Linked DNA regions of Drosophila melanogaster. The protein of the gene in region 1 interacts with the protein of each later gene in a pairwise test. Each region holds a gene or a part of one and is shown in the gene's direction. Other genes may lie near its edges.

The links.
Region 2: the proteins of CG4318 (region 1) and CG30419 interact in a two-hybrid assay, tested with the Drosophila melanogaster proteins (one large-scale study listed by BioGRID).
Region 3: the proteins of CG4318 (region 1) and aay interact in a two-hybrid assay, tested with the Drosophila melanogaster proteins (one large-scale study listed by BioGRID).
Region 4: the proteins of CG4318 (region 1) and Aef1 interact in a two-hybrid assay, tested with the Drosophila melanogaster proteins (one large-scale study listed by BioGRID).

The regions. Positions count from the first base shown.
Region 1 is NC_004354.4:13,151,738-13,158,177, reverse strand, and holds CG4318 (uncharacterized protein), read left to right. Parts: upstream 1-3,253; 5' UTR 3,254-3,317; coding exon 3,318-4,028; 3' UTR 4,029-4,717; downstream 4,718-6,440. Other genes in the region: Bap60 (brahma associated protein 60kD), read left to right, coding at 1-264, 325-480; CG4332 (uncharacterized protein), read right to left, coding at 1,315-2,109, 2,189-3,082; CG32645 (uncharacterized protein), read right to left, coding at 5,221-5,349, 5,461-6,084, 6,268-6,440.
Region 2 is NT_033778.4:24,225,321-24,232,865, reverse strand, and holds the start of CG30419 (uncharacterized protein), read left to right. Parts: upstream 1-3,070; 5' UTR 3,071-3,412; coding exon 3,413-3,787; intron 3,788-7,545.
Region 3 is NT_037436.4:9,420,339-9,427,147, forward strand, and holds aay (astray), read left to right. Parts: upstream 1-2,914; 5' UTR 2,915-3,211; coding exon 3,212-4,024; 3' UTR 4,025-4,443; downstream 4,444-6,809. Other genes in the region: Shc (SHC-adaptor protein), read left to right, coding at 6,805-6,809. UniProt on the Drosophila melanogaster protein: Catalyzes the last step in the biosynthesis of serine from carbohydrates. The reaction mechanism proceeds via the formation of a phosphoryl-enzyme intermediates.
Region 4 is NT_037436.4:21,431,477-21,441,995, forward strand, and holds Aef1 (adult enhancer factor 1), read left to right. Parts: upstream 1-1,951; 5' UTR 1,952-2,225; intron 2,226-2,396; exon of another isoform or gene 2,397-2,571; intron 2,572-3,548; 5' UTR 3,549-3,743; coding exon 3,744-4,533; intron 4,534-4,596; coding exon 4,597-4,733; coding exon of another isoform or gene 4,734-5,171; 3' UTR 5,172-7,163; downstream 7,164-10,519. Other genes in the region: CG33288 (uncharacterized protein), read left to right, coding at 1-1,328, 1,390-1,517; CG5664 (uncharacterized protein), read right to left, coding at 7,443-8,255, 8,313-8,978, 9,037-9,693. UniProt on the Drosophila melanogaster protein: Transcriptional repressor that binds specifically to fat body-specific enhancers, namely the adult ADH enhancer (AAE) and the enhancer that controls yolk protein gene expression.

The DNA.
Region 1 (6,440 bases):
TTCATTGAGAGCGGTGCAGAGAACAAGCAGACTGCCTGCTACGACATCGATGTGGAGGTGGATGATACGCTCAAAAACCAGATGAACAGCTTCCTGATGAGCACTGCGAGCCAACAGGAGATCCAGGGGCTGGACACCAAGATCCACGAGACGGTGGACACGATCAACCAGATGAAGACGAACAGGGAGTTCTTCCTAAGCTTCGCCAAGGATCCACAAATGTTTATTCATCGCTGGATCATCAGTGAGACGAGGGATTTGAAGGTTAGTTCTTTTTTTTTCTTTTTTGCCTCATACCGTTGTCTAAACCTTTCGTCCTTTCAGCTGATGACCGATGTAGCTGGCAATCCGGAGGAGGAGCGTCGGGCGGAGTTCTATTACCAGCCATGGACGCACGAGGCCGTTTCGCGCTACTTCTTCACCAAGGTCAACCAGAAGCGGGCCGAATTGGAGCAGGCGCTGGGCATACGCAACGGCTAGGTGAATGATGAGCTGATCATCTCCACCAGCCAATTCGTGGAGTCCACCGTCAAGAGACCTCCATAAACCGTGCGCACGGCAAACTCTTTTTCCTTCGCCAGTTTAGTTTAAGCTTAAAATATTTCCTTTTTTTCCGACAAGCCGAACTCCATCCCGTTCCAAAACGAAAATCCCCTTTGCAGTTGTCCCAAATACCCACATCCAGCACAAATATTGGACTTAACTGTAAGCTAATAAAATGGCATACAAATATAAAACTGTCTATAAAATTTGATTCGGTTCACTTTTAGAAACACTAAAGTTTAATTTTTATTACGAGTGATTTCAGTTGACTTTATATATATTTAGCCTTTTGATACTTTTGGGTTCCCTTTAAATTTTAGAAAATGCATTTGTTGGTTAATTGAGATTTTAGAATCACTTGTAGCCTTACGATCCTATACGATTTCATGTTAACTGATTGTTTCTAAAATACGTTTTGATCTACATTTGGATATATTATTGTAGGGTTTTAGCTGACCAATCTAACAATGTGAAAGGCCAGCGTTTGAGTCATCTCACAATATTTCATAATTTATACTTTAAAATTATGTGTTTTAGTAAGTTCCATAGTTCTGCAATCCTTTGATGCTGTTGATTTAAAATTGTATAAAACGCATTTTCAGTTGATGCTTCTTAACTTAACGATTTACGCACAAGCTTTAAACGGTTTAGACTACAACACAGGATTAATATCACTAGTAAACTAAAGACGGACTCGGATTACTACGTCTCGGGCTAGACCTCAAGCTATAGGCGGAATGTGCAACCTTTACTCCTTTTGCTGATATAGGATCAATTTCGCTTCTTGCGATTGGCAGCAATGGAAGCGGATGAGCTGTTGCCCGTATCCGGGGTCTCGCTAATGGACAGACCCGTGTCCAGCCGACTCTTGTCAACCGGATACAGCCAGCGCTGATACAGATAGATAATAAACACAATATCATCGCGCAGGCAGGCCACCCGATGGGCCGTGGGCATGGTGATGATGAAGGCGAAGAAGTCGTCGATGAAGGTATTAAATGCTTTATACATAAATGCGCGCCACGGCAATGCGGCCACAGACTTCAGCTTGTAGTTTACAAACAGTTGCGGCAACATGAACAGGAAACCGAAGGCGTAAACTCCGTTCACCAGTGAGTTAAGTGTCCATGAGTACCAGGAGCGGTGTGGTTGGTAGAGGAGCGAATAGACCGCTCCGCATATACAAAGCGGATACAGCAGATAGCTCAGATATCGCATGCCCTGTCTGTCAAACTGATCAGTCTTCTGCTCCTCCGCCAGCTGACCTGACTTCACGCCAGCTTGGTCACCATTCCGCCGGTCAACTTGCTCCAGCTTGCGACGAACCAGGCCACTGAAGCTAAGCTCCAGACGGAAGATTTTCTTGCACTTCCACAGCTCAATGAGCGTGCCCAGGCCAACTGGCACAAGTACCAGATACGACGTATTCTCATCTAGCAGATAAAAAAAGATCACGATCTGCGAAAACGCTCGCCACATTGTGGTGCGGCTTGATAGCCCCTCGTACGACTGCTTTTTGCGCCAAAAGGCCACGTCGTTCTTAAAGCTTAAAAAGTCGAAGAGCATCTGCGGGAAAAGGGAAACATAAATTAGTTATAGGACTGGAGCATATGACGTATGTTGCAATTTTTCAATCTCTACTCACATGGATGCTGGACACAAAGATGGTGCCACACAAAAGGTATACATTGGTGTCCGAAAAGATGCCTTTCACCTCGTCAATATCCTTGGTAGCAAATCCAATGGTGAGCAGCGCCTGGGTGGCGTGTTCCATGAGCAGCATTAGACGGAGCTTGCCCACGCCCACGGGCTTGTAGTGGAAGCTGAATGTGAATTCGGTGGTATTGCGGGTGACGGGCACTAGATCCTTTAGCCGCGTATTAAATGTATCAGTCTGCAGGATGGGCAAGATCTGTTGATTGCGATTGACACGTATCAAGGGGGCCATTTCAGGTGGGACATCCGCTTGCGAAACGGAATAGAGATCGTTGAGCAGGGTGACGTAAACATTCGATCGGATGTGGGTGCTGGGACGTCCAGTGGTGGAGGCTTTCTTCTTTTCTTTCTCCTGGACAGCGGCTGCTGCACCTTTCTCGGAATCTCCAAGCAGTTTAAAGGCCTCCGCCCGCGGCACTATGTAATCCGTGAGACTCATCGTATGGACAACGGTGGGCCCATCTCTGCGCAGGCTACGCCATTCCAGTGGCTCACCCTCCAAGGCCAAGACCACATGAAGATACAGGGAGCCATTCCGGCGCGTCCTCAGCGGCACATCCACTTCGAAGTCGTGCTCAAAGTTTTGATCATAGTCGAACCTCTTGGCCTTGTACAGATCCCGCACCTCGGTGGCAATGGGACTTCTGCTGAGGGAGGAAAACAATGCCAGTTGCAGGCGTGGCCTGTCCGCCAGGAATGATGTGTAGCACGGCACACCGCTGCATTGCAGCGTAGTGAAGAGCTGCGACATCTGGTAGATGGAGTGGCCGATGTACGCCAGAAATGCAACGCCTAGAAGCGTGGAGATCGAGGGCAGGGCCATGTCCTCCTCTTACGGTTTTCTCGTTGGTGCGTTGGCCGGCGTTTTATTGGTATTGGCACTAGAGCCGGCAAAACATTAAAAGAAGCTATCGATAGTTCCGGCAGTATCGATGATCTAAAGCTTCAAAAACTATCGGTTTTTATTGTCCCTAACGGTCGTTCCTAGCACGTGTTTCCAAACTATCATTCCCATCCCAACGTGATACATGTCAAAAAATTAAATTTAACTAAAAGCAATGGATTCCAGGATGTGCCGTGTCTGTTTGAGGGAGATGGAGAACATGCTATGCATCTTCGAAACGATGCCGCTACCCGGCGTTTCCCTAGCGACCATGATTTCCGATTGGTGCGGCTTCCCGGTTCTACCGAAGGATCCTTTTCCCAAGACCATTTGCCAGTCTTGTGCGCTGGATGCGCAGACTGCTTACGGGATGGACAGCGTGCAGGTGATTGAGCAGGATGAGATGGTGGTCAGTGAGATGAATTATGAGGAAGAAGGATCGAATGACTCCGATGTTGAACTGATTGAGCCAGTCGATGGCAGCCAGGAGATGGAGACAATTGACTTGACAATCGATTCACCGGGGGACAACGTGGAGAATATGTGCCCCAACTCAAACTCCAACGGGAATGGCAATGTGAGCCAGAGCAGCGCCCAGAAGGATACCAAGAAGAAAATGCTGAAGAAGACACATAAATGTAACATTTGCGGGAAGTATTTCATGTTACCTGCGCACCTTAAGTGTCACATGTGGGTCCATGCGCGTGAAAAACCTTACAAATGCTTACAATGCTCCCAGTCCTACGCACAAATCCGCGGTCTTAGGCGCCATGAGCGCGTACATAGTTCGAGACCTGAATTACGATCCTACAAGTGTTCCCGATGCCCCAAGATCTTCAACAGAAACTCTGCCCTTAAGAACCACGAGACCATGCACCATAATTAATGCGATCCTACAAGTGTCCCCGATGCCCCAAGATCTTCAACAGAAACTCTGCCCTTAAGAACCACAAGACCATGCACCATAATTAATGCGATCCTACAAGTGTCCCCGATGCCCCAAGATCTTCAACAGAAACTCTGCCCTTAAGAACCACAAGACCATGCACCATAATTAATGCGATCCTACAAGTGTCCCCGATGCCCCAAGATCTTCAACAGAAACTCAGCCCTTAAGAACCACGAGACCATGCACCATAATTAATGCGATCCTACAAGTGTCCCCGATGCCCCAAGATCTTCAACAGAAACTCTGCCCTTAAGAACCACAAGACCATGCACCATAATTAATGCGATCCTACAAGTGTCCCCGATGCCCCAAGATCTTCAACAGAAACTCTGCCCTTAAGAACCACAAGACCATGCACCATAATTAATGCGATCCTACAAGTGTCCCCGATGCCCCAAGATCTTCAACAGAAACTCTGCCCTTAAGAACCACAAGACCATGCACACCATAATTAATGCCAAACCAAGAAGAACGACCATGATGTTAAAAGACTAATGCAACGTGTTACCAAAGTATAGGGAACTTCGAAAAGCGAACACCTCCAAAGAACCTCACAACGATTATACTCATTTTTTGTCAATCCGATATATGATCGTTGGAATAAATACTAAACGCTGGGACACTGTATTTGGTAGCAGTTTTTATTTAAAGGTTTATGTATAACAATATACAGCATATAGTATATACAACATGATTTCATAAAATTAGGTACTAGAGTTTTATATAATTATAACTATGAAGTACTATGTATAACTCTCTCTCTTCGTCACGCGCGAAATTTCCAAACCTTTGGAATAAATTAAAGGACTAAAATGTACACATCATGAAACAAAAATATGATAAAAATAGGTTGAATTGATTTGCACGCTTCAAGTTGCACGTCATGTTTTCCTCGATTTTGATTTGTTTGTTTGTTTTTTTTTTTTAACTTTTATAACTGGAACACATTGTGAGTGAAAAATGTGGTGCAGAGTAATAAGTACATGTATAGATAACGATCCGAAAGAGTCGAGGGTGCAGATGAGTCGATGCTATAAATATGTGGGCATTGTTTGATAGACAAGAAATAGATAACATGACAAAATGGAGGGTATAAATAATCGGAAATGGTCGGATCTCGGCTCAGGACTTAGGCGAGGCGTTTCTTTCGACTAGGCGAGAGGATCTTCAGCATTGTGACGACGGGCGCCTCGAAGGACATCGACACCACGAAGGACAGGAAGTAGGAGGCCACCGTCAGACCGAAGAACATGACAACCTGGAATAAGCAATAAATAAGTTATGATAAACCCTTTTCGTTGTATAACCAATTTAATAGATTTTGTTTTCTTAGACAGCGATTCTACAGCGACTTCATCTTCCAACTCACCATCAGATCCCCGCCCAGGTGAAGCGGCGCGTCCGAATTGAGCGCCATGGAGCGGATGACTATCGGGTGGACCAAGTAGGCGCAGTAGGTGACGCGGGAGAAAGGATAGAGGCAGGGCGCCGAGAGCAGCGAGTTGATGTAGCCGCCGTAGCCCGTGGAGCAGGCGATGGTGATCCAGGCCAGTGACAGCGCCCAGGCCGAATGGCTGAGCGAACTGTAGGCGGCGGCGGTGAACTGTGACAGGTCGGCCTTGTACAGCCCGAAGACCAGGACGAACAGATTGAGCATGGCCAGGGTCCAGGCGGTTGCCACCGTCAGCTTGGGCAGTCGGATCTTGCAGTTGGTCCTGAATAGAATCCAGCCCACGGCCATGCCGATCAGATAGGGACCCAGGCGGGTCCATGGCTTGTCGTAGATCTTGTCGAACAGAGCCAGCGGATCGTCCGTGTTCGGTCGATGATTGTTGGTGAACGCAATCACCGCCGTGGTGATCCACGACAGCACCAGGAACACCAGTGTCGTGATCGCCGACAGCTTAAAGTGACGCACGCCCACGATCAGGATGATGGCACCGATCATATAGAACTGCGTGTCATTCGCCAAATACCAACTCCAGAGCATGCACTGCGGATTTAGAGAAATGAGGAGGAATTTTATATTATACTTGTGACGTTCGTAAATTGTTATTCAAAAACAGAAGCCCAACAGTTCTCAAATGCATGAGTGTGTATGGGTGATTACAAGTCCCTTTGTCTTTTGAGCACCAATTTATACTTAAGGCTAACAGCTATGTTGAATAACACTCACCATCTCATCGACAGGAAACAGGGTGTTGATGTAGAGAATGTTGCGCCACCAGTAATCCGGACAGGTGATGTGATCCATGGTGGGTGGATCAAAGATCGAGTAAGTGGCCAGATACTTCATGGTCACCTGGACAACGCCCAGGACGAACAGATAGGGGGCGGTGAGACGCATAA
Region 2 (7,545 bases), on another chromosome or scaffold:
GCTAGTGTGTGTGAGCGGGAATGATGCGATGGAATAAAACAATTTTCATACAAATTCCGTGCATTTGCATAAATTTCATGCACTCCGGACGTGGCGATGTCGTCATTTTCATTTTCATCTACTTAGTGCAGAGCGATGCAACCAAAGGGGGCGGACGTACCGCAGGTGGGCGTGGCTGATGAAGGCATCGGAGCACGACACTTAAAAAGACGCGTATGGGAAAGTGGATGTGGCTGGGGATGGGGATGGGAATGGGAATGGGGCCCACTGGCAGGACATACTCCACCCCATTCACACGCCTGTAAAAGTTAGCGGAACAACTTTTTGTCGCTTGGCAATAATCATAAAATTTCACTGCATATGAAACAAAAAACCATAAAAGCGGTACCAAAAAGGGAGCACAAGAAACGTGATTGCAGCATAAAAGCGTCATTTACATGCCGTTGTCGTTGTCGCTGCACTTGCATCACTCGTCCTGCCAGCCAGATGTCCTGGAGTCCTGCCATCGCATCCTGTTCCATTTGCGCATGCGTCGCAAACTTTTCCGTTTGCCATTTGCCGCCTCAATAGTTACCAGCTACCAGCTACCACTTCCCCGCCCCACGGCTTTATTGAGGTTTTGTTTAAGCTTTTAGCGTAGTTTCCACTTTTTGGGGGGCAGGAGAGCCAGTAGCCAGGGGCTACAGCTAAAGCTATAGCTACAGCTATAGCTACCCATTCCATTCCATTTGGCCAAAAAAAGTTTTTTCGGTTCTGTGTTTGGCCGGCAGCATTTTTGCAATTAGGCAACTGTTCTATACGAGAGTACATTTCTTTTTTACTTCTCTTTTAGTTTGCCAAATGCAATGGAACTTTTCATTTTCGGCCACAGTTGCAGAGTTTTCATGGCTAGCAGCATTCGGCACACACAGAATTCACATTCACGCAGAGGGACAGAAATTGGTGCGTAATTGAGACCGAATGTAAGGCCATAACGGCCTTTGAGCTGCTTTTTTATTTGCAGCATTTCCGAAGAGGGATATTTATTAAATTATGAGTGGAAACTCGCATACGAAAAATTATTTAATTGGATATGGTATTTTTTCTACGGCCATTCCAGGCGAATATTTCGTTTGATAGTTCTGCAAACGGGAAGAATTCAATGGTCTGCCATTTGAAGGATTTCATATTTAAATGGAAATTAGTATGTCTGGTGCAAAGGGTTTCGACCAATATGCTGTTCATATAGGCTCTGAAAAGTGTGCTGCATTTAAATATACTTTGTTTCCCACAAAGAAGATAGATCTTATTCCATTCCGTACATTAAATGTTCGTTAAATACTTCTTTAAGCTCGCTATTTCACCTGCAGTTAGGCATCTGCAAGCTAGTATCTGACCCCTTGATCTATTTGCTTGTTGAACTTGTGTTTGGCACTTCATTCCATTTGGCGCCAAGCAAGCGGAAGGCTCATCAATATGATGGTCGGGTCGCATTATCAAACGTATTTATTTGGCAAACAGCAGGAATAGCATGAGCAGAAACAAGGCGGCGGCAGGACACGGACATAAAGATAAACCAGGATGCTCTTATCGGCCGAGATGAAAGCAAGAAAAGTTGGCAAGGAGTGGGAATGGCCAAGGACGCACACGAAAACACGAAAGTCGAGCCGGATATTTAGGGCAAGAAGAAGAGGGCTTTGCGGATACAAAAATATTGCGCACGTTGACAGCTTAACGTACATAATTAATGTGACAATCTAACGGAATGCGTGTGTGCGGACATTAATATATGGGCATTGGGCCAGATAAACATGTTGCCGAAATGATCAGGCCGAGTGGCGAACGGTGGTCCACAGATGACGAGGCGTACATTAATTACGGGCCCGAGACCAAAACCAAAACCAAACCGTTCTGGCCTTTTGGCCAAGTCGACTGCTCCGCAAAGCTGCGAACTCATTAAAGGAGCAGGCAACGGGGCGTATGCGTGACGCGTGCTAAATAAATTGAGAGACAAACAACAAACATTAAAAGTTTTTATTGCCCAAATGCGTTCTCACCAGAAATATAAATGCGCACATCCGCATACGAGGCGGCTCCCCGGCATCCTCGGCAACACAAAGCATTAAATTACTTTATAATCCGTTTATAGCTCCGCCCGGAAGTGGTCCAGACTGAAAGCAAGCAAACAAACAAACAGACAAACTGGCAAACACTCACGACCCGCCCCCTGGGAGGGCAGCTCAACAGCATAATCAAATCAAAGATTACGTTGAAACATTGAAATTACGTCTAGAGCCGAAAGCACTCATAGTCATAGGCACTACCACCACACACTCGCCGCACACGAACACATACACACACAGTCACACGGTCACCCGCCGCCTCTTCTTCTTTCCCGTCCGTGTTGACCGAAATTAAATGTTTTTGCCAGCTCTACGAACTTTTTAATACCTACGGCAGGGGATTCCGATATATGAATGGTACTGATCAGCGATATTAATTGGCAATTGTATCAACTTAAGTGTAAACTTTTTAACCAGTTTATTTACCAGGATTAAATACATAGTCTACGGGCGAAAGAAAACTTAATAGATTTCTGTTTTGTTCGCACCCAATCATCTTCTAGCCCTATCGATGGTGCATACTTTCTAATAAAACAACAAAAGGTAGTAGGTATTGTAGATTCAAAGATGAAAATTACCATAATTAATACGCAGAAATGCCTCCTTGGTACCCATTACACTCGAGTATTCCCCCGTCGCGACCGAAAAATTCACAGCCTAACGTGGGGCGCCTCAAACAATTACAAACATAAAGCGGGGGGCTGTACAACTTTGACCCTGGGAAACGTAAACAGCAAGAACTACGAAACTATGGGCCACAAAAAAGGCCGTAATAACTGTGCTTCATTCATGCACACAAGGTGATTCGTGTTTCTGCGCACTCCTCTCTCTCCTCTCTCTCCCTCTCTCTCTCTCTCTTGCTCGGCTCGATGCTTATGCTTATCCTTCGTACTAGAGTCCTGCCGCTCTCTTTCGAAAAGCTGGCAACCCTGCAAAGCACACATTTACGAACCAGAAGCCACGGCTTTTATCAGTTGGCTCGCTGACTTTGTGCTGTGAACTTCGACGCGCTGGAAGGTCCTGCGAAGTTTTCGCATTTCCTTTGCTGGTGTGGAAGCGACGTGTTTTGTGAGTGCGCGTGTGTGTGTCTGTGAGAGGGCGCCAACTTTTCGGTGAGACTTTAACCACCAGTAAACAACAACAAAGCAAAAACATTGACAAAAAAGCAAGAAAGGCGGAAAGGACACAAGGACACAGCCTGCGGTCAGGGAAACCGCAATCAAAAATTGTAAACAAACACTGGAAATCGAGCGAAATCAACAAAGGAAGTCGACGCCGCCCTGTAGGCAACGATTCCGCTGCTAGCCAACATGGAAATGGACGTCAATCGCCCGACCGGCCGCCATGGCAACCTAATGACCATATCCGCCCGCTGCTCCAACAACAATGCAGCCGAAGCCGGAGCCGGAGTTGGAGCCACCAGGACTCCGGCCGCCGGAAGTGAGGCGCCGCCCAGCGGCTGCTGCGGCATCTTGGGCCGCCTCCTCTGCGTGAGTCGCCACAAGGCCACGCAATCGGTGGCGGGCAGCGATCCCTTCTCCCAGCTGCAGTTGCAGCGCAAGGGAGTCGCCACACCTGCTGCCGTTTCCGGACAGCGACGCCGCCGGACGCCGCAGGAAATCTACTTCGAGAGTCGCGGCAAGTCCTGCAAGAAGCTGCTTAAATTCAATGGCAATTCCAACAAGGTGAGTGGCGAAGGGCAGGGGCATTTCAATGGCTATATCCGCACAAAAGATACGGAGATTCGGCGGGATGCGCATCAAATCCTTGCTCGCGAAGCTGCTGCATTCAGTGGATTCAATTGACTTGAAGTGGAATAATCAAAGCATACTCTAGCATTGATTTTGCGATGCTCTTAGCTGGAAAGTATTCGATTTAAAAGGGGGAATATGTTGGAAGAAATACTCCGTTTCCTTGACAAAGTGAACCAGAAAGGGTTAAGGAGCAGCTACCAGCATCTTCCCCTTTTTAGGTTCTTGAGCGAACGAATAAGTGGATAATTAATTTCTAGTCTGACCCAGTGCAGCTGGAATGTTTCGAGAAGCCGGTCCTTTTGTTGTACAGTGGAACACCTTGGGAGCGTCCCAGTGCTTATCGCATAATGGAACAATCCCCTTCTCGAGCGCATTGCAAACAATCCTAAAAGTGCATAAATTTTACAGTCTCCTGACTACATTGTCATCCATTGCGAGGCGAAGACCTCGTAGCCGGAGTCCTGGCGCCAAAGTGCCACGAGCCATGAGCCAGGAGCCACTCAACCGTAAGGTAGCCAATACCCAGGGGTCCTCCAGAACCCGCCCGTCTGTCCCGTTACCCCACAATTATAGACGCGTGTGTGTGTGTGTGGGGCCTTTGTTATAAATTTTGGAAAATTTGTAGCAAAAGCTGCGGAGTGAAGTTCGCTCGATTGCCCCCGGTTTGTTTGGTTTGGCCTAGGTAAAATGGAAAATGCGATGGGATGGCCTGGGAAAATAGGGCCAGGCTACACACACACATTCGCACACTCAGAATGCTTATGCCACTTTGCATATAAATCATTCGGCATTGTGGCCAGAACGCAATGCGCTTATGAAATATTTCGTTTGTTTAATGCGCCAAAGGACAACATTCCACTCCGCCCCACACACTGTGGCTCTACAGTTTACCCACTTTCGTCCGATATCCCCAAATTCCCACTAATTAAAAACGTGCAAAAGAAAAGCCAATCAAAAAGGTCGATGCACAACAATGGCTGCGTGCTCCTTCTATTCCGAAAGCACCAGAAAAAGAGATGTTCAATTATGCCATTGCACTGTGAGAAATTATATCTTCAAAGTGTGATTGAAATAATTGATAAGGCTGGTAGTCCAAGTAAATGGGGACTCCTTAAGTTCAGCATAGCATCTCTAAGCTATGTTAACAAGTAAGGCAGATACTCCATTCTGGTTTCAGGAGATCCTCTGTGGGACTCCCAAATTTCGCCCAATTTCGGGTTCCCGAATTTTGTTTCTCTGCACGAGGGAGTGTCTGCATCAAATGCACATTTCGCACACACTCTCACTCGGCCCGCAATCTGCCGGGCATCACGCACTGGAGCGCAAGCAACAGGATGAATTTGTTAAACAACACGAACACGAAGGATCTGCAGGAGCTCGAAGATTGGGCAGCGGTACGGAGTGAAAAAGTGAAAAATGAAAAACCCATTCGCCCTATCAAGTGACATCATCAATTTCAGTCTATTTTGCACACAGTCGACTTGTGGCCCTGGTCGTCCGGTCTTCTGCTCTTCTGGTATTCCGGTCTTCTGGTCGTCGTGGTCGTCCTGGCAGTGCAACAATGCCAAAGGACATTAACACCAATCCGTTGACAACGAGTGCACAGGAACGATGGAGACATAGACGCTCAACAGCCCGCTCCCGTAAAATTCAATTCGAAAAGCTTCACTCGGTCATTGAATCAAGCGCTTTGAGCAGCAGGCAGGGGCAGGATCCTTTGATGAACAATCTGATTACCCCCAGTTTCGTCCTCAAAGGGTAGTTTACACATCGTCCCCCATCGATTTTATAATGAAGCAATAGCAATAGCAACAGCAACGGCAATAGCAATAGCTTAGGTAAAACAAAAACTGTTTGTACACAGGATAAATGGTATCCATTTGCAACCACCCAAAAAACGGAAATCAACCCCCAGATGGATGTATATATTCCTACGGCTACGGATAATGTTGCAAGTGAAATCTGTCGGGTGAAGTTTACCCTCTTAACCGAATGCGATAATGCTGTAAGACATATTTACATTAACAGCTGAGTTCGCGGGGGGAAGATGGTGTCTCTGAAGTCAGGGAATACCGCGGCATATGCGAATTAAAAATGAATCTATTGAGTCACATCTTGATCGAATGATATGGCCCATTTGTCTCATTATTTGAGCGACGACAATGGCTAATGCAAAATCCTTTACACTTTAATCTGCCCATTTAGTTTTAAATGGCCCTTTCTTCATGCCGTGTAATTAGCTTGCCGAGCACAAAGGCCAATGCAATCAAGGACTCAACGAACTCGCAGAGTGAAAGAGTATTATGAAAAAATGAACGTCCTCTTCGGGCAAGGCGGAAGTGACTAGCCACTGGCCCTCCCTTTCAGCCCACTGCCCACCCCCTCTGGACGTCCTTGTAAGCTGCTCACTGTCTGCGAGCATCGTTATGTCCTGCCTCGAATGTGAGTGTGTGTATGTGTGTGTGTGTGCGCTTACATATGCATATAAAAGGAAGAAAATGCCATCAACATTGCAACGTTGTAATTGCCAACAGGCAATGAAGAGCCACAGCCAAAAGCAGCAGGCGGAAAGGGCGTGGTGTGCGGGGAAAGCGCAGCAAACTGCCAACTGCCACATGTCCTGCCAGCTCAGCTCCAACAGAAAAAAGGACTCTCCGCCTGGTCGCTCACTACCAACGAGGGTCACTCGTAAAATGTTCAATTAGGGAAAGATTACATCATTGAATGCAAACAGTGTTTCGGGCCAAGTTTAATGCCTACCTACTTATTTGAGCCAACTTAATGTTGTGGTATCACGTTTTACCACATCCAAATAGACATTCAGAGATGGTTCCATTTGAAAATATAAAATACTGTCTGTATATGTATCGGAAATTTTGGAAGCACTCCCCTCGAAGGATATGTGCGTTGGCCAACTGGGCTGTGCGCCATTTTTAGCACACGGCTAATGTGTTTTGGCTGGCGCTGCTGCTGCATTTTCCATGATGAAGGATGCAGGAGGCAGAATGCTGGATTCATGGCTAGGCAGATGGAGGTGGAAGAAGGTGGGGCTATGCGGTCCACTCCAAACTGCAATGTCCGTCTGGCTGACTGATGAGCTGGCCGCCCGAGTGTCGCCTCTGGTTTTGCTGTTTGCTGATTTAGCCGCCTCCATCCAACTATTCATTATAATCAGGCCTGATTATGCCCGCCCAAAAGTTAAGCAGGCCAAGTCAATTTGGGAGTGTATTTATTTAACTGGCGCTGGAAGCCGGAAAGTTGAATGCGGGATGACGGGAGCTGGGCGCTGGATGTGTATAAAATAAAAAGTCATAAAACTGAGCTGAACCGTTGATCCAAGTAGTTGAAACACAGACCCTTTTTTTGCCGAGCAGATGAAGCGGTTCGGCTGCCTTTATTTGGCTGAAGGGAGCTTCAATTCCCTTCACTTCCCTTCCCATCGCAACCTCCTCTTTTTGGTTGGCGATGACGATGACAAGGGTGCTTTGCCGCCTCACTGACTAAATAAAATTGGAATTTATTATCATGATTTGTAGCAAGAAGAGGCCAAGAGACAGCGGCGAAATGGCGGGCATAAAAAGCACAGCAGCCATCCACAGCAGCCATGCCATCCCATTGCTCCTCATCAGATCCCAGACCCTGAAGCCCAGCTCCCAACTGCCTGACTCATCGTCGTCGAATCCTGAATC
Region 3 (6,809 bases), on another chromosome or scaffold:
TTTCCAGTGCACAACCGTTGACGTTGCCATACACAATCAGCCCACTTTCTAACTGTTTATGAAGCAACCTCAAGCGATGCAAAACAAAAATACAAGAGGACATAAAAAGAAAGGACCAGAATAACAAAGAAAACCACGCTCCGCATTAAGGGGTGAGTGCAAGAGGGAGACTGCAGTTCTTGTGCTCCCCTTTTGCTCCACTTGTAAATGTGTCAAGTGAGCTTGATTCTCTTCCACTTACATACATGTACGTATGCAGGTGTGCTGTGAATGTAAGAGCGTGAGAGAGTTAATCAGCGGCATTAAAATCGCGTGCAGCCATAAACAAGTCGAGTGTTAGAGAGGAAAGGGGGATCGTCATATTCAATTTAACAGTTAATCAGTAGACAGCGCACAAACAACAATGCGGCATGGAAACAGCAGTGGAAAAACAAATCAATCGAGAGGTGCAGACAATTGGCAACCCAAATATAAATAGTCATTTCCCGATTAAACTGCCTGGTGATGAAAATTAATACAGCAATTTCGCCAAGCCTTCAGTCTGGAATAATAGCCATTATGCCGAGCCTATCAGCTGTCGGCTACAAAATAACAATCGCACAAAGTGTCGCGTCATTATGCAAGCCCCCGGCATTTTGGTCTGGAAGTGGGCGTAAATAGTTTGGGGTGTGGCCAGAGAGCTCCATTACAGAACAGCTGTCAACTGCCTCGCCAAATTCCGCAGTGCTGTGTATGGAAGTACAGTAAACTGTTCAAAAGTCGAACTTTTTTTATACATAGTATGTTTCCATGCTCGATATCCTAGTATTATTATCTTTTATATACAAAACATTCATATCTATGAGAAGCCCATTCAAAACCATGTGTTAGAAAGTAGGCAACAAAAAAGTTACATTATTCTGAAATGCCAACAAACTAATAGTTCAAACTTTTAATAAACTTTAAATGGTCTTTAGTGGTTTGAGATTAAGAGTTTCGACTGCTCAACGAATTTTTTGTGAATTAGAACCATTACCGCGTCGGCCATTCAATGGGCATAATAAATTAGTCAGCTCGGGTACTTTGCCATGCGGTCCGGATCAGGTGACGAGCCTACCTCTATTTAGTTTGTATGTCCAGGGAAAGTGTGTACATACATATACAAAATGGAAACGGACTTGGTTGGAAATTTATGCAGCAACAAGGTCAATCGATAAATGCAGAGCCGAAAGGTACACCCAAAACCCAAGACGAGTTGCCAAGGTAAAACAAAAAATAACGGTAAACGACAGGTGCCGCAGCCGCTGACAGGCTCAGGTAAAGGTACAGGTGTGGTCGGGGCCGTTATTCCCTTGGATTTTCCTTCCTTCTTTGGTTATTTGGTCGCTCGAGGCAACGGCAATTAAAAGCAGTCAACTGTTTACGGCTTTGTTTAGTGGAAGTCGTTGGCCGAAGTAAGCTTTAAATATGCATGAGAACATGTTCAAACATGCACATGCACGCATTGCACGCAATGAATTGTTTATCGTTATCGATAACGTGGCATTGAAATACTTTTTGCGGTCTAGCCGCAGTTTACTTTTTGTTGTTTTTGAGCTGTTTACCACGAACGGAACGATCGCAAACGATCAAAACAACTTGTTATTCTACAATTGCGAAAAAAGTGCCATAGCAACGATAACAAAAACAAGAAACCGCAGAGAGAATTGCATTTACAGCCGTCATTGTTGTTTTTGCCACTTGCAATTGCACGCCCCTCGCTTTTGTTGTTGATTTGTATCTAATTACCGGAGACTCAAAAGTCAAATCATGAATGTTCGGAGAGAAAATTGAGAAAAAAGATACTTCACCTTACATGAAAGCGTATGACACTGCAACAGTAGCTATAAATTGCATCAGAATGTCGGACTGGAACAGTTTAAATATAAGTCTAGCCGATTTAAAAATACCTAAGGCTTACACCAGCGTTAATCAGCTGAGATTTCGGTTATTTTCCACATCAATGATTAAGCATTAATGCAAAAAAGAAAGTATTGAAAACAGGGGGATCAACCAGACGCAAAAAGTACACTTCGTTTTCAAAGTGATAAGCAGCATGCGCCCGTGTTTGGATTTTACCAGACAACATTTCTAGAACCGGGGTCATAAATGCCACACTTGTTATTTGTTTGTCGATAATTTTTGAGGTAGTCTTTCGATGTCTGGACCCAGAACCAGGTCTCCTGGCAATCTTCAAGTATGAAATGGTGCCAGAAAAGATAAGGAGCGATGGTCTCCTGCTGGAAAATCTGGTTCTAGGCGGTTCTTCTAAGCAGTCGAGTGTCGCGAGTTTAATGACAGCTCAACCATAATTGTTTCTATTGTTTATATATTTTGTGATAAGCAGACATTGTCGCATTCATGCAGCACATGTTGTGATCAAAGGTTCACGTTCCCCCAAAGCAATTCTCTCTCAATTGAAACTGATTAAATGAAAATTGAGCGTAATTCGCGGATAAAAATATAAGCCATAGAAGTTAGGGTATTCTGGAAGTCTTCTTGAACTGACCGAAAAACGAAAACGGTTTGGAGTTTGTAACAAAAACGCATTTCTCTCCCACTCGCACACTTGTAATGCTTATCGTTCGATCGCTACACTGAAAAGAAAGCAACTGCGTTTACATTTTGTAAGAATAAATTACAATTATTGATATTTCGATTTGATAATGTATTTAAATGTAAAATTTTAATCTAGTTTCTTGTGGCTTAAATTGTTATGCAAATCAGCTAGTTGGACAAAAATAGTTTCGTCTGGACATAAATTTTTCTTTCCGTGTGGTCGGTAATCATTTTTTCGTTCCGTGTGGTCAGTGTGAAAAGAGAGAACGACAAAAAGAGAGAAACCGCTTTTGTGTGCGTTGAGCGGGTTTTCTTAAAAGGGCGATCGACTGTTTTTGAGTCACTTGTGAAAAATCAGTCATCGCGAGCAGTTCGACTAAGGAAAACCCGCTGGCACACACAAACCGTAACCACTTATCAAACAAAAACAGCTGGCCCGCAACGCGAAGCGCGTGTGCAAAAAGAAACGAGAAAACATACACAACAAAAAAGCACAAGATATAAGAGATACACAAAAAGAGAAGCAGTGGAAAATTTTGGGCACCAAACACAGCCGAAGCTTTTACGCCAAACGTTAAACGAAAAGCCAAAACTTAAACCGCTTCCAAAAAACACAACGTGTTCGCCGGTCGAGATGAGCGGTTCCGTATTGAGTTTGGCGCGTCCTGCAGCAGCCACAAATGGCCATAATCTGCTGACCAAACAGCTGAATTGCAATGGCAATGGCACCACCGGTGGCGCGGCGAAAACCACTGTGGCCTCGGCCATAACACCGCCCAAGCAGCCCCAGTTGGCGGCCAAGGTCATCCAGCAGTCGCAGATCGTCTGTTTCGATGTGGACTCCACGGTGATTTGCGAGGAGGGCATCGACGAACTGGCCGAATATTGTGGCAAGGGGAGCGAGGTGGCTCGCGTTACCAAGGAGGCGATGGGCGGTGCCATGACCTTCCAGGATGCCCTCAAAATTCGCTTGAACATCATACGGCCGACACAGCAGCAAGTGAGGGATTTCATCCAGGAGCGACCCAGTACACTGAGCAAAAACGTGAAGCGTTTCGTCAGCCATTTGAAGGCGGAGGGAAAACAGGTTTACTTGATCTCCGGCGGATTCGATTGCCTAATTGCGCCCGTGGCCAATGAATTGGGTATTCCCCTGAAAAACGTCTATGCCAACAAGATGCTGTTCGATTATTTGGGCGAATACGATAGCTTTGATATCAACCAGCCCACTTCGCGTTCCGGCGGAAAGGCAGAGGCTATCGCCCTGATAAGGAAGGAGAATAGCGACGATTCCCTAATCACCATGATCGGCGATGGAGCCACCGATCTGGAGGCCGTACCGCCAGCCAACTACTTTATAGGTTTCGGTGGCAATGTCGTGCGGCCGGAGGTCTATCGCCGTGCACAGTATTACGTAACGGATTTTGAGCAGCTGATGGGGCAGTGAGATACGTATACGTAAGGCGGTGGGGGAGTGGCGAATTTAGTATTTGAAATCAACGTGTTATAGCTCGTAGTGATGCACATGTTTATGCCCAAGTATGTGTGTAATAATATGTACGTTAGTTCGTAATTAAACAATAATAAAAAGCGATAGTAATAAATGGAAAACGAACAAGTGAAATCAACTTTGTTACTGTTAACTTAACAGAATATGTTAAGCGCGCACTGTTAGTGAATCAGCAGAAGTTGTAAAAATACAGGGTGCGCCCTTATGCTAATGAACAGTTCACGCTTTAGCATCCAACTGTAAGCAATTTATTTAATTTAAAGAAATTTCATGCACATAAAATATGTATAAAAATAAATTTCTGTATTTATATGTTTATGGCGAACAAAAACGAAAAATACAACAAAAGTTTAAATAAAACATTCATTTTTCTATGGAATAGTATGTTAAATACTTTATTTAAATTTTTGATTGTAGGTACCAATTAGGTAAAACCAATTAAAGCCTAAATGTTTTAAATGCAGCCTTGCAGAGCTATTAGCAGTTGCAATAATAGCCCATTAGGTTACAACAACAAAACAAATGCTCTTTTCATGACGAATTTACTTTCGACTTCTGACGTCTTTCGAAACCAGTAAGTCTATAAGCCTATTATATCTACATACCAGAACAAAATGATAACAATAGACCGAAAGGTGAAGGGTCGTGGGAAAATAAATAATTAGTGGGCAGCCGATTCCAGATTTCAACTTTCAAAATTTTGGATAAATGGGTGTGTTTTAACCCATTTAGATATTCTTTATGTATTGAAGCCAAATTAAAAACTAATTCGACTATGAGAGAATTTAGATTGGGCATATGGACATTTGTAGGAAAACTAATACTTTTGTTAAGCATCAAATTTGTTGCTTTACTTGCGATTGAAGACCAGCTGTTTAATTGCCCAAGCTTGAATTCCTTTCGATTTTAACACGAAGGTGCCAGCAATTGGCGGCTCAAAAGGCCGTTAAAAACCAGAAAACAACGCCTCTGCGGCAATTATCAATTGCTGTAATCGACTCCAGCGGAGTTGAAACAGTTGGCAAGCAGAAGCAAAAACAAAGGCAAGGCCGAAGCGTGGGTGCCAGCATTGGGCGGTAAACCATGAATGGAACGGGCGGTTTGGCGGTCAACGTCATCGTGTTTAATTGGCGGCGGGAAACGCTTTGAGCCAGCTTAAATGTGGACCATATTAGGCGTGATTCGACTGCCGTTTGAACGGTATAGGGGCGTGAATTAAGGTTGCATTCGAACGCAGAACGGGAAAAAAGCAGCCGCCGATGATATCACCATCCTAATGAACTGGGCTTAAAAGGCGTCTGTTATGCCCTGCAGCCCAAGTGAATCTGAATCACTCAATTTGGGTGATTTGGGTGACAGTAAGGATTCTATAAAGGAGGCCTTCTGAGGCCTTCCCAATTCTCATTGTACGTTATTTTATTTAAATAGTTCAAAGTGCAATTTATTACTTAAAGAAGTAATTTATCCAGTAAATGTTTCACTGTGGATGCTAATTAAATAACGTAGATTTTGGAAAAAAGCCACATTTAAGGGAAGTGCAGACATAACAGAAATTCTACTCTATAATACAATCATGGATGCCATGCAAATGAGGCGCTTGTTGGCTATTTCTGCGTGGCCGCTGGTGTCTTTGTCTATTGGTCATGACTTCAGAGCGCGTCGCATGACGTAAAGATGTTTTATTTATGTGCCCACTGAGCCACAAGGCAGCGGCACGAAAGCGGTGGGCAGCGGAATGGAAATGGGTATGAAAAACTGGCATAAACGTAAACAGAAAGCTTGACGAAGTAGACTTACCGCAACGCTTGGAACGGTTAAACACAACAGCCTCGGGGGGATTGGGCTTGGAAATCGAAATATCTCACGGATTCGCGTTCCAGTTTCCAGTGGCACGGCGAATGCACTATTCCGGCTTTTCCGCTGCAATTTTCGGATGCTTACGGATGCTGCGCGTTGCGATTCGGTCGTAACTATGTATCTCACTCACACACGCGTCGGCGGGGCGGGGGGTTTGTCTTGCTTTATTGATTTTGAATTTTGTCTCAAATTGAACCCAACAAAAAAAACGCCGTTAAAAACTGGTGAGCCTTTCGTATTTCTGTATTTTCCACACACCTGGTAATTCGCCGCGGTTTGTTGCTTTGTTTGTTTGTGTATGTATACGCGCCGCTTTGGGAATCGGAGTAAAGAACCGGATGATTTGTGGCCGTAGCCGTGACGTGTGGATATTGCGCGAAAGTCGGTTAGTAACTGAACATCGTTTGCGGCGAGCACAAATTTTTGGGGGTGAAGTTTTCTTTGGAGCCAGGCGAAGCTTTGGCTTGCCACATAGAGATGGCATGCAGCTAACCGGTCAATCGATTGGTTAGGGATGGGAGTCTTAAAGAGTGCCAGTTCCAATATTTTCAAGATATCGAAATTTGAGTAACGTAATCCAAGCAACTAGCATTTTCAGTTACATTTTTATATCTTCTTTTGCATTATTGAAATGATAAGCTCGTTAGAACCCCCTTTCAGCTCCACCACTGAGCAACTATCGATATGCCTGCTAGCTGCGGTTACACTTCCAGCGCTGCAGTGCGGCCACACTTTCGCGAATACGGTCCCACCTTGAGTAATATCCGAATTACTAATAACAAAGGCTTGCAGCCTACAGCTGCGGAAAAAGGACCAGCAAGAAGCCAAATCGCTGCCAAGCGCCCACAGCCACCGCACAAATGCC
Region 4 (10,519 bases), on another chromosome or scaffold:
AGAATCTTTAAGGTCGAATAAATCCGCACACGATATGGAATTAGTTGATCCCAAGCCGAAAGTGCCTGGCAGCCAGGAAACACTTTTACGCCCACGCACGCCTTATCCCGAGAGCAGTAATTCTAGCACACCGCAGACAATAAAAAAGACGCCTATACGAAACTTTTCATACGAGTCTGCCATGGACCATGACCATCTGGAGAGGACTTCTCCCGAACTGGTCTCTAGTCTGGACACAGTGGAGGAAGTACCTACGGCCAAAATTCACGTGAACACACCAACACCGCCCACGGAAGACGATGAGCACCTGGCCGTGGAAATAACCACAACGAAGGACTCAACGGACAGCAGCAAAGTGATCAACGAAATACGGTTCATAAACGACGGAGTGGATGTGACGTCCAGGGTAGAGGAACAAATGCCAGATACACCACTGGAGAGCTCCGTGGAGGATCTGGAATCAGATGGAGAGCAAAAAATGCAGCGTGGTGAGGAGCAAGTTGACAAAATTGTGACGAGCTCTGAGGAGGCGGTGTCCAAAGTCGGCGAAGACGCGATAGATGTCATGGACTCCACTCGTAACTCGATTCAAACAGCGGTAAAAAATGCAGCAAATGGAGCTCGTGATGCCATGGAAGCTGTAGGCGAGCGAATGGCTACTGGAGCTCGAGGAGCCGTGGATACCGTGGGAGGAGCAGTAGGAGCGGCGGGTAAAGGTGCCCATCGGTTGGCCAGCGATGCAATGCACGCAGTGGAACAAGTAGGAAGTAGTGCAATGCATGCAGTGGAGCAGGCGGGCAGTAATGCGGTCAAAGCAGCCTCGGAAACAAAAGATTCGATGGGCAGGGCTATGGATTCGGTGACCAGCAAGATCTCTACTGAAGTACTGGGCGCCAAGGAAAACATCTCCTCATTGTTTCAGATAAAAGCGGCGAGGGAGGCTGATCCACAGACCACGCCATGTTCCACACCTCGCGGCGAGGATGACTTGTCCTTCAAAGAGGGGGCACCAAAGACCACCACAACGTTGGGTTCCAACGAGGAGGATGAACGAACAACGGCCTCTGTAAACTCAAACCACAATTCTGCAGGACATGGCAATGGTAATGGCAACATCTTCGAGCCAAGCACTACCTTTGAAGACCCTCTAGATGCAGTGGTGGAGCGCAGTAAGAAGGCGATGCAGGATGACATTCGGGCCATGCAACTGAGGGCAAATTCCCATATTCAAGCTGTGGCCCAGCAGAAGGAGGAAGATGCTAAGGGATTCGTGAAGCAGGTGATGGACAGGCTCTCGTGCCGTAACGAAAAAGCGGTCAGGATCGAAGGTACCTTTCAGTATAGTCCTTCAGTATATACTTACCTAAATTCTGCTTACCTTCCAAATAGATGAACTGCGTCCGCCGGCTGGAAGTCACAACAAAAACACAAACAAAGTTAACAGCGAGCTGAGTTTAACCAATGGGCAGGCACATGGTGATCAGTCGCAGGCTTCGCGGGTCTGCACGATTTTATAAAACTTGCACCTGCACTTTTCTGAGCAATTGCATTTGGTCTTTAAGTACAATTTAATAAAAAATAATGCAAACGAAATTCCTATACAAAAGTTCTGCACCGGGCAGTGTGACCGTACTGTGGCGGGAGGAAAACCTCTCAAAAACGAAAGAAAACTTACATATTCCTATGTGAATGACTTCAGTGGAACTAGCTCATTTAGCATAGAGATGGCAATTCGATATTCACGAGAAGTCACATTAGAAAATGATTTTATATTAATATGGTGGGAAAAAAAATAATTATAAAGATGTGCTGGCCTAAATAAATCTGAGAATTTTCCCAAATTTGATCTCTTATACCAACTTTCCCATTGAGTTCGGGGCAGTCATCGTGATTCCTTCACACTCGTGATCAGTAACAGGTCCCCCATAGCTATCGCCCATCCCCAATTGGCACTAGTTCATTCGCGTCTATTTTGTACGCGAAACAGTAAAAAAAAGAAAAGAAATATTTGTACTATTTTTCTAACGTTTATACGCTTTTTATAAATGAAGAACCAGCCACAGATAATGCTGTGAGGACCCGATTCTGATAGGCGAGAGCAATACGCGAACACCCTCCGAAAGGCCCATATCCCCCAAAAAACCGAATCGAGTGCGAAAAATGATGTAAAACGGGGGAAATCTAAACCTGAAAGGCCCCACACAGCACAGCCACAAAATGGAAAGGTAGGTCAATGTGTGGGCGCCCGAAAAGAGTTCAAGTGTGTCACTCAGTATACCCAATTCCGTCTGGAATCATTTGGCAAAAATAGCGTTTATAGACGTGTGAAAAACAATGGACATTTTCGAGCGGAGAGCTCCAAAATTAAAAGTATCCTAACCTCAAAAGAGCTTTTACACAGTACGTGTACGTGTGTGCGCTAGTGATGTCCATACGTGTGTGCGACTGAAAGTGGTTGTGACTTTTAGCTGAAGAAGGGAGCGCGAGGGGCGATCTAGAGGCAACGTGTTAGTGGAAAAACTGCTTTTGAAAAAAGGGGAAAATATCCCCCAAAAAGCCCGCCCAAAAAAGGTCAGTTCGGAATCCTGTCGATCTCGCCTCCGTTGAGATTGTTATCCAATTGGTAAAGTTATCACTAAGTTCTTAAGTTGCCAGAAAAACACATGTAATTTGGCGAGAAAGTAACACGCTGTCAATTCAACACAAAAAGAGAGATACCTGAGTGCTCCATGTGTGTGCGTGTTGTGTTGGCCTCAGTGTCTATCTTGTCTGGTGGGTGAGCAGGGGGCGGGTCAGGTAACTTGTCCGGCGAACGTAAAAACCAGCGTTCAAAAAATATATTAAAAGTTACATGCATGCAAGCAGCGCGCGTTTTATTTTGTTTCAAAATGCATAATCAATCGTATGTTTAATAATTTATGCTCTTTGACGTATATTCGAAGTTTTCATACCATCGAAGTCATAAAAATCTTTTAAGGATTCGGTCATCCGTTATGGATCTTATTTAAAAATTACTCATCACAGTTTGTTTGTGAGTTTAATATTAGTATGGCTCTTTAATAAATGTTATAAAGCCCGAAAATATTTACTCTCGCAAGAATATTGCTTTGAACGCTTAATACGTTAATCATTATACCTGAATGATTTAAAACATAGTTTCACACCGTAAAGTAAGCCAGTTACCTCCTTACAAACATGTATGGATATGTAAGCCGTGTAGTTCCAAATACTTATTTATGTAGAGAGGCTTGCCTAAAGGAGACGAAGGAGTAATATGCTAGTTAGGACACAAAATGGGCTTCAATGCGTTTCACTAATAAGGGCACACAAAGAACCATAGGAACCATATGGAAAGGGGGCTTCAAGGGGAGGAAGTGGAGCTGGAGCCGGGAGCCCAGCTATCAAAGTGTGTCAGCTATTGAATAATTTAGATTTATAATTTCGCAGTTAGGTATTTCGTATGTTTTGGGAATTCCTCACATATTTTTGCATACCAAAAAGCCAAGCCGCCGACTCAACTAATCCCAATCTCCCTTCTCCAAACACAGGCACTAGCAGCAACAACATCAGAGAAGCGCCCAAGATGAGCATGTCGTGGCATTTTTGAAGCATCGATCTTAGTTTGTTAGCCAGCTTTCTGTTCAAGTCACCGAGGTACCGCAGTCTCCCTCCACTATTCCACCAGATTCAAATCCAGCTTCGAATCCCGAATCCAGACTACCTAATCCCAGCAAGAGCAGTCCATGATGCATATCAAAAGCCTGCCCCATGCCCATGCCGCTGCTACGGCGATGAGCAGTAACTGCGACATTGTCATAGTGGCCGCCCAGCCCCAAACCACCATAGCAAACAATAATAACAATGAGACGGTCACCCAGGCCACGCATCCGGCTCACATGGCGGCGGTTCAACAGCAGCAGCAACAACAACAGCAACAGCAGCAGCAACATCATCAGCAGCAGCAACAGCAGTCGAGCGGACCACCCTCTGTGCCGCCGCCACCCACGGAACTCCCCTTGCCCTTCCAGATGCACTTAAGCGGGATCTCGGCGGAGGCGCATAGTGCCGCCCAAGCAGCGGCTATGGCAGCTGCCCAAGCTGCAGCAGCCCAAGCTGCTGCGGCGGAACAACAGCAACCGCCGCCACCAACTTCACATCTGACGCACCTGACCACGCATAGTCCGACAACGATCCACAGTGAGCATTACCTGGCCAATGGACATAGCGAGCATCCCGGAGAGGGCAACGCTGCCGTTGGCGTAGGGGGAGCTGTCCGCGAGCCGGAGAAACCTTTCCACTGCACCGTCTGCGATCGTCGCTTTCGACAGCTAAGCACACTGACCAACCATGTAAAGATCCATACTGGCGAGAAGCCCTACAAATGCAACGTTTGTGATAAGACCTTCCGTCAATCGTCGACGCTGACGAACCATCTGAAGATCCATACGGGCGAGAAGCCTTATAACTGCAACTTTTGTCCCAAGCATTTTCGACAACTGAGCACGCTGGCCAACCATGTGAAGATCCACACGGGTGAGTGATGAAGTGTGCTACCATACAATTTTGACCGAAACTGATTTGTGTCTTATTCTTTAGGTGAAAAGCCTTTTGAGTGTGTCATCTGCAAGAAGCAGTTCCGACAGTCCAGCACGCTCAACAACCACATAAAAATACACGTCATGGACAAAGTCTACGTTCCTGTTAAGATCAAAACAGAGGAGGATGAGGGGTGACTAGGACGAATGCCGTTGGCGGCGCACCACCATCAGCAGCAGCAACACCAGCACCACCATCAACAGCAGCAGCATCAGCACCACCCGCCGCCTCCGTCCCAGCAGCAGCAGCAGCATATCGATCAGCGTGGAGTCACCATAACCACGTTGCCCTCCGCCACGACAGTGGCCCAACATCACCAGCAGCATCAGCACATTCAGGATGGCTCGCCGCACCATCATTTTAATGTGGCCGCTCTAGGGGACTTATCCAGCGCTATGCAATTGGGCGCTGTGACGGCGGACGGGAGCTTTGTGACCATGGGCGGTGTTGTGGTGGGTCGCATCCAGCACACACGAGAGGAACTGCAGCAGCTTGGAGTGATCAAGGTGGAGTCACCATCGAATGGTGGCACAGCCACGACGTCAGCGACGGCGGAAACGCAACGCGAGGGATGAGTCGATGAGCTGCTCCTCGAGTACATGCTCAAGGAGGAGAATGCGGATGAAGAGGATGAACAGGAGCATGAGTCGGAAGTGGATGCGGATGTAGTGGAAATTCAGGAGCAGAAAGAGGAGCAGCGATCGAGCCAGAAGTGAGCCATGTTTGGTGTGTACGCTTACGTTGTTGTTAGTTGTTTAATTGTAGCGAACATTGTTGTTGTTGTTAAGGTTTAAATGTGTGACTAAGAACTTACCAAGATGATTGTATAGCAAACGCTTCAAAAGTAGGTAAACGAAAGGCGCCGACACCAGCACCCAGAGCTCCCAAAAAAATAACACAAACCGTAAACAAAAACAGAAACAAAAATACTAAAATAATAGTAAAGCTAAACTAAAAACCAGATGAAAGACCTTTGCAGAGAGTTGTCTCTATAGCAGCGCACCCCATCTCACATTCACAACCCTCTCAGCCCCGGAAATAGATTAAACCCCTCTCTACTCACTTATAAAATAACCTAACCCTAACTAGAGTGAAAATAGTTTGCTAATAGCAAGAGCAAACTAAACCCAAAAGGCAAAAAGCATTACGTGTACGAAGAACTTAATTAAAATATTTCCCAAAGTGCAACCCGTTTCAGATTGTAAATTGTTGACCCGACTCACTTTTAAGTTGTTTAATTTAGCATTTAAAGCTTAAGAAAAATTGTTGTACAACTCAAAGTTGGTGACGTTTTTCGCCATCTTGCAAGGGCGTGTTTTAGTCTGGGCTAACACAAATACAATTTGTTTATAAAATCAATAGCTTAATTATTTAACTTCGTAAACTTGTCAGCAAAACTTAAAAAAATATCCTGAACAGAAAACGGCAAAGAAAAATATTCTAATAGTGTTAAGTGGTCGAAACTATCTAATTAGCTCTTAGTCCCTAGAGAGCCATAGTTTTTAAATCAGCGTTTTGTTAATTTTAATTGATTAGTCTTAGTAGTTTTAATTTCAGCATTGGCATAATTTGGAAACACAAAAGCTGTCACGCTAGCCTTCGTTTAAATATTAGTTAATGAAGTAAACACAAAGTAACGCTAATTAATTCATAACTAATTACGATTATGAGATAGTAAAGCAACAAGTTCTGTACAAAGCCCAACTCCAATTTGTATGTATAAAGCGAAAGCGAAAGAGTTTAACTAAATTGTAAACGAAAACCTTTTTAAAAGAGAAAATAATATTTTCTAAAAATACAACATGTGACTTTTTATGTTAGCCCTTTAATTTATGTATGTTACCCTTGGTTTCCTCACATCCCGACTGTCCTTTGTTTCAAACGCCGGTCGCCTTTAAATACCTTTAAAAACTGCAGCAAGGGTCAAACCGAAAAGACTCCTGTATCAAGTTCCTATAGAATTCAAAGCGCAACAAACACGGATGTCCCCAAATGTATACGAATCAATTGCAAGCCGGGAAGTGGAGACACATTCAAAGAAACCTAGCCTATATGGAATGAATATTAAATAAATGTTGATAAATGTGTAGTGTTAAACAAATTAAAGACAAGACAGCAGAAACAAAAAACCGAAATCCCAACCTAGTAGAGCAATGATAAGAGCAACGCTTGAATCCGTGCTATGTTTTTCAAGGCCCTGAATGCAGATCCTCGCCAGGATCTAAGATCCCTAGAGAATTTGAAAGGTCGCTCTAAAATGAATGCTTAATATTTGATGCAGATCGGATTCTGCTCTTTGTAACATCTGAGCTCTGCACCCAGCTTTTCTAACCCTCCCCAGCGTATGCATATACTTAATATAAAAATGACGTAGTGAGATTAGCATTTAAGCGCCTACTTTAATGATAGTTGAGTGTGTAAAATGTAAACTGCAAAGAATTTAGACATACAATGAACAAAGACAAGACACGTTAGGCAAATCGAGATGGCAGAAGGATGAGGAACTGCAAAAAAACCAACAAGCAAAAGGCTTAAAAACAAATCGCGATAATATTATGTAATTATACACATATATATTTATTAATGTATGTATGTACATGCGCAGTAGCTGTATTTATATGTAAATGTGTACGTAATTGTGTATTTAGTTACAGCATAAATATATATTTGCAATGGAGAAATACAGAAACGGAATTTATGACAAACGGTAACGAATCAAATGCATTCTTATTTGAAACCATTTAGATAAATACTAATTAACGGGCTTAAAATAATTAAGTTTGAACTTTCGGTATGAAATTCCTTAAATTTAATGGAGCCTTAGATATATTTTCGTATTTGGGCCCTCATATGCCTCCCAATAAGGAGGAAGACGCAGAGTCTACTGGAGACATGGACTCTTCATAGCTCAGAAAGTTGTTCAGATAGGTTAACCAGTCCGACACATCGACCTCCTTGTAAACTTCGTTTTGAAGGAGTTGTCGCAAAACTCTCATTTGTCTCACATCCTCGCCATAGCGCACACACATCTTGGCCATATTGATACTGGCCACCGGCAGGTTCACCTTTTCCCGACCTGTAATTACTTTGGTGCTCATGCGCTCCTTCCAGGTGTGTACCTCCTCCTCCAACGCATCGAGCCTGAACACCTTCGGCGCCTCGCGCACAACTCTTCCCACAGGACTGATCCTCGCAGTCAACGGCTGCACGAGCTCCTTACTCATTAGGTACTTCCAAAAGCCTCCAAGATTTAACCACTTGTCATAGTCTTTTAAGGCGCTAAGGAGTAATGCTAGGTAATCCTCACGCGACAACTGCTCGTCATCGTCATCCTCAATCTCACTTTTAAGATTGTACTTTACCCATTGACGCGCTCTAAATTCTCCGACCACCTTTTCCGGTCCAAAATGAGTTTTTTTGGGAAAGAAAAAGAGCTTCAAAAAGTGGTCTGTGAACTCGAAGCGGAGATATGGGGGGTCCAACTGCCGAATAGCCATTAGGTAGGTGCGAACCTTTTTGCGATTGTGCGATTTAAAAATCTTGAAGAAGTCTTCGATGAGCAGATGGGTTTGGGGTCCCATACTAGGATATATCACAGCATTATCCTCGTACTTTAGCTCTGCCGTGTTGCTTACTTCGACAATTAGGGAAACAAGGCGCTAATAGTACTGAAAGAGTTACATAAAGCATACAACCCAAAAACATTACAAACCTACCTGGAGAATCCTCTGGCGTTCTGGGTACATGGACTTGGCCACTACCTGTCCATACAGACTCATAATTTGTTTAACGATGTCGCTGAGACGCGTTCCTGCTGACATTTCAAATACGATCGAGGCAAATGACCTGGAGTTTTCCTGAAACAGCTCCGACTCCGACTGCCTCAACCTGTTATGATCCAGCCAGGAGAGGAACTCTATTTCCAGTACACATGTGAGCATGTTCAGGACATCGCAGAGCCGTGCCAAGCGGACTGCGGGCGACATTCTCTTGAAGTCGTCCAGACAAAGCTTCCCACTCTGCCAGTCATACTGCTGTACATGTCGCAGAAAGACCGTTTCCTGGGACATATTCGCATCCTCCTCTTCCGAGAAGTTAAACACAAACTTTTCATAGAATTTGGTGTTTTCACGTATCTCTTCATCGCTGCAATGCGTTAGATTTTCCTCAAAAAGATCGATGTAAAACTGCAACTTCTGGGTAGAATTGGTTGAACGTGTTTCTCGCAAGGGGGGATGCGAGACGCCCAGAAAACTCAAGTAGTAAGGACGCAGGGCTGTCCAGCACGGGGGAAAGGCGTCGACCAAAAGAAAAAAGGTGCGTATAAGTTTGTTGTAGATGTCGCCAAGCTCCTTTACGCTTATCTCTTTGGCAATTAGGATCTGCATAAGGAATTCATGATATTATTACAATGTGACACCAGAGAAATAAGCAATCAACCATGGCCATATCTATTAGTCTGTCAAAGACTCCTTCGCCTGGGTAGACACCCTGCAACACCATCATCTCCAGAATGTCCAGGAATGTATCGTAGTGCTGGCCGTGCAACGTGGTTCGTAGCGCCTGAACGGCCGCAAAGTTTGGGCCATCCGGAAGCGCGGAGCACCGATGTCTTTGCGTGCACAGACTAGTATTGTAAAGACACCTGGAAACACAAGCTCCCGGAAGACGATCCTCGCTCTTCATGTACAGATTTGAGATCAATATACGCAGGTTAAACTTCCAGTTCAGTTTCTTGAGAGTATGATTCAGCGGAGCAGGATATTCGTTGGTCCTCTTGAGGCATGCCTTCCTAGCGAAAACCTCCCCCGGGGCCGCCTGAGGTTTGGTTCCTGACTCTAATATCGATTTACCATCTAATTTGGAATCTGATTTATTACTTGCTTTGGAATCTGATTTGTTAGGATCAGGTTCGGCAGCTGATCTGACAGAGACCATTTCCACGTCCGACTCCTGAGGCAGATGAAAAGGAATCGTCTTGTTGAACTCTAAATTAGTGTCTAAGACAATTTCTGCGACGTCCGCTGTTGAATTTATGGTATTTACGCTGTCTGAGTTCATTGCGAAATTCAATAATTCTTCGCCGTTGGAACCCATTGCAATTCCTTCGGTTACTAACTGATCTTCAGGTTCTTTGGTTTCAGGATTCTTTTCAACCTCTAGACCAGGACTAACGTTATGGCGTTAATTGTGGTGGACATCAGAGCGCGTAACAATTATTTACGCTAGAATATCAAAAGTATTAAAAACACAATTTGTGTTTTTTTTTGCCGGGGATATTTTTAAGTGTGACCGCTGACAGACCGCCCAAATATACGGTAAAACGATAGAACAATCGATACTAATGGGCTCAACGGCTTTTTAACTTATGCGATAATATCGAAATTATGGAAATAACCAAAATTCAAACTCTCTATTAAATTTTCTCTATTCAAATTTTCAATTAAAATGGTGTGTCCTATACGTCCAGTCCAGTCTTATTACTTGTGATTAAGCTCCTTCTTCAGTTCCGTCGCCGGCTTAAAAGGCTTTGTCGAACCAAGGGCTTGATCTCAACGTTGGACATTGAGGGCTTTCTTTCTTGTTTGAACAACCGACAATGCGTCCAATTTCAGCGTAGGTTTTACCTTCAGAGATCATGTTTTTAATCAAATTTCTTTTTTCGACGGTACAATGCTTTATGCGACCCATGACTTGAGAATTTTGGGCCTTCGTTTGGAAAAAATTCAATTAAAACCTTCAATTCAATTCCTTTTTATAAAATGTGTGGAAAAAAAAACCCAAAGCAATCACTTCTATTAATATTATTCAGCAAATACGTGGTCAGTGCTATGTTTGTTACCGCCTAATTTCGCGCACTTTTGCAGCAAGTGCCCAAAAACAAAAAGAACCGTTACGTTGAGAGAGTAAAAATTTATTGCTC